2 linked regions of the Daphnia pulex genome follow. The protein of the gene in region 1 binds, or shares a complex with, the protein of each later gene. Links are inferred from orthologs where the notes say so. Each region holds a gene or a part of one and is shown on either strand. Other genes may lie near its edges.

Evidence for each region. The genes of interacting proteins can lie anywhere in the genome.
Region 2: the proteins of cysteine desulfurase, mitochondrial-like (region 1) and adrenodoxin-like protein 1, mitochondrial are in contact, whole or in part, in a cryo-EM structure (PDB 8RMC), measured with the Homo sapiens proteins. The link is inferred for Daphnia pulex from reciprocal best matches to the Homo sapiens genes NFS1 and FDX2. Residues at the interface, in NP_066923.3 of Homo sapiens: Gln153, Lys157, Leu160, Asp161, Arg164, Ala168, Tyr175, Ala384, Ser385, Leu386, Glu387, Pro388, Tyr390, Arg393, Gln456, His457; in NP_001384335.1 of Homo sapiens: Ala104, Cys105, Glu106, Ala110, Cys111, Pro141, Leu142, Ile169, Thr170, Arg171, Asn172, Phe173, Tyr174, Val175, Asp176, His178, Lys181.

What each region holds. Positions count from the first base shown.
Region 1 is NC_060020.1:4,726,127-4,730,170, reverse strand, and holds cysteine desulfurase, mitochondrial-like, read left to right. Parts: upstream 1-1,292; 5' UTR 1,293-1,384; coding exon 1,385-1,550; intron 1,551-1,616; coding exon 1,617-1,687; intron 1,688-1,756; coding exon 1,757-1,873; intron 1,874-1,945; coding exon 1,946-2,083; intron 2,084-2,166; coding exon 2,167-2,359; intron 2,360-2,420; coding exon 2,421-2,555; intron 2,556-2,636; coding exon 2,637-2,794; intron 2,795-2,855; coding exon 2,856-3,021; intron 3,022-3,084; coding exon 3,085-3,280; intron 3,281-3,392; coding exon 3,393-3,456; 3' UTR 3,457-3,544; downstream 3,545-4,044. Other genes in the region: apoptosis-inducing factor 3-like, read left to right, coding at 1-310; uncharacterized protein LOC124193102, read right to left, coding at 433-585, 668-779, 889-953.
Region 2 is NC_060020.1:3,486,752-3,489,706, forward strand, and holds adrenodoxin-like protein 1, mitochondrial, read left to right. Parts: upstream 1-1,458; 5' UTR 1,459-1,481; coding exon 1,482-1,623; intron 1,624-1,747; coding exon 1,748-1,799; intron 1,800-1,926; coding exon 1,927-2,033; intron 2,034-2,109; coding exon 2,110-2,354; 3' UTR 2,355-2,455; downstream 2,456-2,955. Other genes in the region: VWFA and cache domain-containing protein 1-like, read right to left, coding at 1-300, 361-467, 533-1,062; myophilin-like, read right to left, coding at 2,861-2,886. UniProt on the Homo sapiens protein: Electron donor, of the core iron-sulfur cluster (ISC) assembly complex, that acts to reduce the persulfide into sulfide during [2Fe-2S] clusters assembly on the scaffolding protein ISCU.

The sequences.
Region 1 (4,044 bases):
TATTATGGGACGATCGGAACCAATCTACAAAACAACTGTTCCATTTTTTTGGTCTTCTATGTTTGGGAAAAGCGTACGTTACTGTGGCTACGCTCCACAGTTTGATGATGTTGTAATCCATGGCGACCTAGAGAACCTTAAATTCGTTGCATTCCTCTGTGAGCAAGAAAATGTTCTTGCTATTGTCACTCTCAACTATGATCCCCTAGCAATTCAGTTTGCTGCTTTGTTAAGAGAAGGGAAGACACTGCTTAAGCAGGATATTTCTGAAGATCCTAAAGGCTGGACCACCAAACTTCAAGACTTATAAATCAAATTGGTTGGATGGACAAATTTAATTTGTTTTTGCTGTTTCATTCACCAACACAAAGGAACACAAATCTGATTTTTACTGTTTTAATTCACTAAATACAAAAGAACATTAACTGTTATTCAATCCCACTTATTGGAAGCCATCAAAGGACCTTCAAGGCGTTCTTCAAGGGTTACATGAGGTTTGTATGGTCTACTTTGTTTTAAGTAAATCTTATCAGCCAGCCATTTTTCGTGTTTTCCCAAAGATTTTGAAAAGCCACTTTCTTCTTCCTAAAAGGAAAATTTTGAAAAATTAGAATGAAGCTATCTAGATCAACACATTTTTTTGGTAAACAAATATATAGATTTCTACCTGAGTTAGGAATGAATGTCTCAAAAAAAACATGGTTTGTTCCTCAATGGCAAATCTTTTTCTTAGTCGTTCTCCATTTTCTTCATTATGTTTATAAACCATTCGATGTTTTCTAATAAAAACAATATAGTTAAACATATAATTTTCTGAGGGTAAACGGTAAGGGACATTAACACAATTTAAGCATGTCTGTGGTCAGGCATAATTATATATTTTATTACCCTCCCCAAATATTCCCAGGCGGCATTTTTTTCCTGAAACCACATAAAATGCTTGAAAGTCGCATTCTAATTGGTATTGCAAATGTTTTAAGTAAATATAACTTTTAAAATAAGGCTTGAACCTTGAAATCACTAAAAAACTGAAAGCCTAGATTCGATTGTTTACTTAGCGTCGACTGCTTTCGCTCGTGTAGTTTTATCTGACACCATTGTCAGCTTCGCTACTCAGAACTCAGAATCCAGATATTGTTATATAACGAAAAACAAACCAATAAAAACATTTTAAATTTACTTAAAGTAAATTAATTGCTAAAATGTCAATTTTTAAAGAATAAACAATATATTTGATTCTATTATTTACAAAGGTCCAACGCCGCATTTTACTAGCCTTAGGCAATCCATGTGTTTCATAACCAATAACCAAAATACACTTGATTTGTACGGTTCTGCACTTCTGCGATTTGTTGTCTAAAATTTATTTGTTGAAGTTTTTAAAATGTTTCGTAACTTTTCGAAATCAAACCGTTGGATTGTATGTCAATTTTCTTTAAAAGCAGAAAGTTTGCTAACAGAGAAGACATTTCATCAAAATATATTAAAATTCCCTATTTCAAAATGCATTGCCCTATCAAGAAAATACAGTACACTGACAGGTATCAAGGGTAAGACATAATAACTCCACTTAATGATCAGTTATTTGCTAATATGTGATCTCAACTTCATTATAGACAAAGATTTCAGTAAATTTGAAGGTGAAGGGAGACCACTGTATTTGGATGCTCAAGCCACAACTCCAGTTGTAAGTATAGCCTATGAACAAAAATGTATCATTCTTGAATGTAAATATATTTACTCCATTTAACTTTAGGATCCAAGGGTATTAGATGCAATGCTTCCTTACATGACAAATTATTATGGCAACCCTCATTCAAGAACTCACTCGTATGGATGGGAAAGTGAGAAGGCAGTTGAAGTAGCTCGTGAGGTTGATTTACAAGAAAATGTTTTACAATTAAGAATACTCATCAAATTAAAGTTTATTTAAATACTATTTCAGCAAGTTGCCAAGCTTATAAATGCAGATCCAAAAGAAATTATTTTCACATCTGGTGCTACAGAGAGTAACAACATAGCAATTAAAGGTGTTGCAAGATTTTACAAAATGAAAAAGAATCATATAATCACTACACAGACAGTAAGATCTATTACATGAAATAACCATTATTTTTTTCCTTATGGTATTGAGTAAAAAAATTTTGTTTTTGTGATGATTTTCAGGAACATAAATGTGTTCTCGATTCCTGTCGCGTTCTCGAGGGGGAAGGGTTTGAAGTAACTTATCTTCCTGTTCTTCCTAGTGGCTTAATTGACTTAAATAGTCTTCAAAATGCAATCAGACCTACAACTGTGTTGGTTTCAATAATGGGTGTCAATAATGAAATTGGAGTTAAACAGCCATTAGCAGAAATTGGTTTGAAAATTTAAACATTGTAGAGTCTATTTTTCTATTCATAAATTTTTCTCAACATTAGGTGCTATGTGTCGAAAAGCTAAAGTGTTTTTCCACTGTGATGCAGCTCAAGCTGTAGGTAAAATTCCGATTGATGTCGAATCGATGTCAATTGATTTAATGTCCATAAGTGGACATAAGATCTATGGTCCTAAAGGTATCAATTACAATTTATTTGATTATTATTATTCCGATGTAATTGACTTTTTTTTTGCATCGCTCGTTTCTTGAACAAAAGGTGTTGGTGCTCTTTACGTGAGACGCCGACCACGGGTTAGGATTGAAGCTCTGCAAAGCGGAGGTGGTCAGGAACGAGGAATACGTAGTGGAACAGTTCCTACTCCGCTGACAGTCGGCATTGGCGCAGCATGTGAAATAGCTCAGCAAGAACTTCAGGTTTTAGTTCATGGCGTAGTATTATCTACATATCACTAAATTGATCCAAATCGTCTCTTAGTATGATCACGCCAGAATCAGTAAACTATCCCAACGCTTGATCGATCAGATTAGCCATAGTTTAACACACGTCATACGAAATGGAGATCCCGAACACTCCTACCCAGGTTGTGTTAACCTTTCTTTCGCCTACGTCGAGGGAGAAAGTCTTTTGATGGCCCTGAAAGGTAAACTTTAAAGGCAACTTCCACTACCTTTCTTTTTAACTATATTTGTTTTTATTACATAAGACGTGGCACTATCAAGCGGAAGTGCTTGCACCTCAGCATCGCTGGAACCTTCATATGTTTTGCGGGCCATTGGCGCTGAAGAAGATTTGGCGCATTCTTCTATTCGATTTGGAATTGGGCGATTCACCACCGAAGCTGAGGTTGATTACACCGCACAAAAGTGTATTCATCAAGTCACCAAACTTCGGGAAATGAGGTAAATACCGAATTCGAAGAAGTCGAACCGTAACCCGGGTCTGGAATTCCCCGACAAATAACTTCCTTCATTTCTGCTAAAAATGTTAATTATGTTTTTTCTCCACTTTTAGTCCTCTTTGGGAAATGGTCCAAGAAGGGATTGATTTGAAAAGTATCAAATGGACGCAGCACTAATCTTTCCATTCAAAAACAAAACTGAAAATGTTGCTGTATAAATTCAGCCTTGTAAAGAAAATGATTTGGAAATATACACTGAAAATAGTGTTGACCAATAACCTTTAATATCTTTTAAGACGATTGTTGCAGAAAATGGTATCGTAAAGTTACAAGTTACTTTGGACTCTTTAACAGTAAAATGAGCCGGGAAATTTATTAGCTATCGGTACCATTGCGGTGCAATAATAAGTCAATATAAAGTATCGAAGGACTAGATCTAGAATAGATTAAAAAAAAAAAAAAACGGCACATCCTGCAGAGAAATTTGACAGCCTTAATATGTCCGTTTTTTGTTCAATAAACGAGTTGATATTTTTGACAATGCCAAACGACTAAGTTTCCGTCGAAGCTCTTTGGGTTAAAAAAGTTTGAAGTCGTTCCTAGCACACAAAAAAGCAGGTGTGCATGGTAACGAAGACTTTTGATTCCTTTCACACTCTTTGTATGTGATTTATGGGGCACTTTTACTTGACATTATACTTGAAGTCATTACATGAATTTCATTTAAAGTTTGGAAAAGGTGAAGAAGTTAATGTAATCTTAAGC
Region 2 (2,955 bases), about 1.2 Mb from region 1:
TCAATCCAATGTGGTCCTTATCCGACAAGCTTGTGACGATATATTTTCCAATGGCTTTTGCGATGGATAGTTGATTTGGACTTAGCGCACTTCCATGGTCAATTACCATGACAACAAATTTAGGTTCTGGGTAGACTGAGGAAAGATACAAGTTCCTTCGGCGCAAAAGGTCGCCGGCTTTGTTGCATCCAGTAGACTTGCTATCAATGCGATGAGCTGGATATTCACTGAGCCCACCATCTGCACTAAGGAAGTACTGCCACTTGATGGAAGAAGTTGCTTTCAAATTGTTGGCAAAAACTGCAAAACAAATTCACAATTATTTTAAATGTAATATTTTTTATGCATGAAACTGTTTACCATCAGTCAGATTATGTCCAGGGGAAAAACTGAGGGGCTTGTGGTTTGGTACCGACACATCACAAGATAGTTCTTCAGAAACCAGAGTTCCAAAATGGCTATCATACCTTCACAGCAATGTATAAATAAAATGTAGAGCACTTCAAAAAATGTATTGAAAATATTTATTTACCTTAGCATTCCATCTGGAAGTTCACAACAAGGTGCAGGAGTGCTTAAAGGCCTGTGTAAGTGATGCCAAAAGAGTTCCTCAATGGCAATTCTACTACTGTTCACTAAAGAAGAATAGTGAGACAGTTTACGCTGAATACGATCACTGAGATCTTTCACTCTGGACGAGTCATCTTTCTCCAATAAACCAAACGGAAGGGAGTCATATATAGTTTGAAGATTTGTGACCCCCAACTCTTCGTTGCTGACTGTGCGCATGAAAGATGTAAGCATCTGAGACCCTTCATCCAAATAGAATCCTTTGATGGGTTCAATTTCTTCCTCTTCAGCCAAACCAGCACCCATCCACCTGTTTGGGTTCCTGAGTTCTTTTTTGACAGAAGTTCTGTCACGATCATCAGCTGCCACATCTCCTCCAGAAGAAATTTTTGGAGACTCTGCAGCCAAGAAAAGGCAAGACATATCCAACAGCAACAGAAGCGTTATCAGAAGGCATTGCCGCAAGCGATAGGCCTTTGACCAAGCCGCCATGATGTTTAGATTTTGGCTTTGTTTAGGCGGCCGCCAGTCCCTTGATCTCGAAATTCTTCTCAATTAGAGGTTGATGAAAAAAAATCCGCACAGTAACGAATGCAGCATTCTCACTTGTGTTTCAAAACACCATATGCAATTCGGTCTTTTAAAGAGGCTCGCGTAAATTCAAAAATTCCACAAACACAAACCTAGAAAAGAAAAAAAAGGCCACCAGGCATAGAGTTGACACAGATGAAAGCGTTGTCAGACTGTCTAATGTAAATAAATTTTAAAAATTTAGAGTTCTATTGAAATGTTTTTGAAAATTTGTCATAAAAAATTAATTATAATTTATTTTAAAATGCATTTCATTTTAGGTATAAATTTAAAAATACTTGAATACGCTTACGGAATCGTTCAATATCGCAATTCACAGCATGGCAGCATCCGTTCGACTTACAACTTGTTTACGATACATTTTCAGGTGGAAATTTAGAAATGAAAGATATTTACATTCCAATGTATCTAGTTTTGTTCAAAAAAACAAATATAACGTCCGAACATTTTCTTTGAGTCCCGGTAAGAATATTTTTCTTGATTGTGTAATGAATTCCTAGTATTAGATAACGTCATTGTGCCGTACTGTCGTTTGCTTCAAAATATTTTTACTAATCCTTTTTATTTTATTTGCTACTTGTTTCAGCTGTGTGGAGCGGGGAATACGAATGGCAGGATCCAAAGTCAGAAGACGAAGTGTAAGGTTCACTGCAATAAAAGTTACTCCATAACAACATTGTGTAAATGTTTGATTAATTATCAAACGATGTCAAAGTTTTCATTTATATTAAGGTCAATTTTTTATTTTTTTTTATTTATTTCTAGTGTAAATATAACCTTCATTGACAAAGAAGGAAAACAGAAGCCAGTCCGGGGGAAGGTGGGTGATAATGTCCTTTACTTGGCTCACCGCTATGGAATCGAGTTGGAAGGTAAACAAATGACCATATTCTGAATGTTGGTTGTAGTTTGCTTATTCATGAGAAAATTTACAACACACCTATTTAGGTGCATGTGAAGCATCATTAGCTTGTTCAACATGCCAGGTTTATGTCCAAGAAGAGTATTATGATAAGCTGTCAGAGGCCAAGGAAGAGGAGGAGGATATGCTGGACATGGCTCCTGGATTGAAGCCTAATTCTCGCCTGGGCTGTCAAATCATCTTGTCACACGATCTTGAAGGCATGGTTCTTAAACTTCCTACCATCACGCGTAATTTTTACGTAGATGGCCATGTTCCACAGCCTCACTGATTTAGATACAAATGTAGCTGCTGCTGTGTACATTAGCGAATGGTGTTGTGTATTATTAGATGTAACTCGCCATATGACAAAAAAATAATGATCAAAACCTTGTGAGGAGTGAAGGCACTTGTTCCATTATGTAATCGGTAAAGCACAATGAACGGCGGAAGAAAGATGAGGGGACAGTTTGCTGCAGAAGAATTGCCAATCTCGGTTGAAGGATGGTGACACAGAGCAAATAATAAAGAATTCAGCAAAGCAGGGAGGAAGAAGAGTAGATTTTTTTTATATCTGCCAATCGATCGGAATGTGTAACACAAAAAAGAAAACAAGTCATATCGACGTCCTTTGAACATATAAAGGCATTACTCGCGCAGAACAAAACAAAAGGGGGGAAATTCAGAAGAAATGCTTGCATGATGAAATCTGCCCAGAAAAATGCGCAACAGGCTGACATTTTCCTCCAGCAGGTGAATTGAGAGCCACTATTTTCCTTTTCTTTTTTCTTTCTCCCTCTAGTGCATTCCGTTGTGAGCGAACTCTGAAATAAGCAAAAGAAAAAACTAGCATTATAGACAAAATATTTTTTTTTTTTTTTACTACGTAAGTC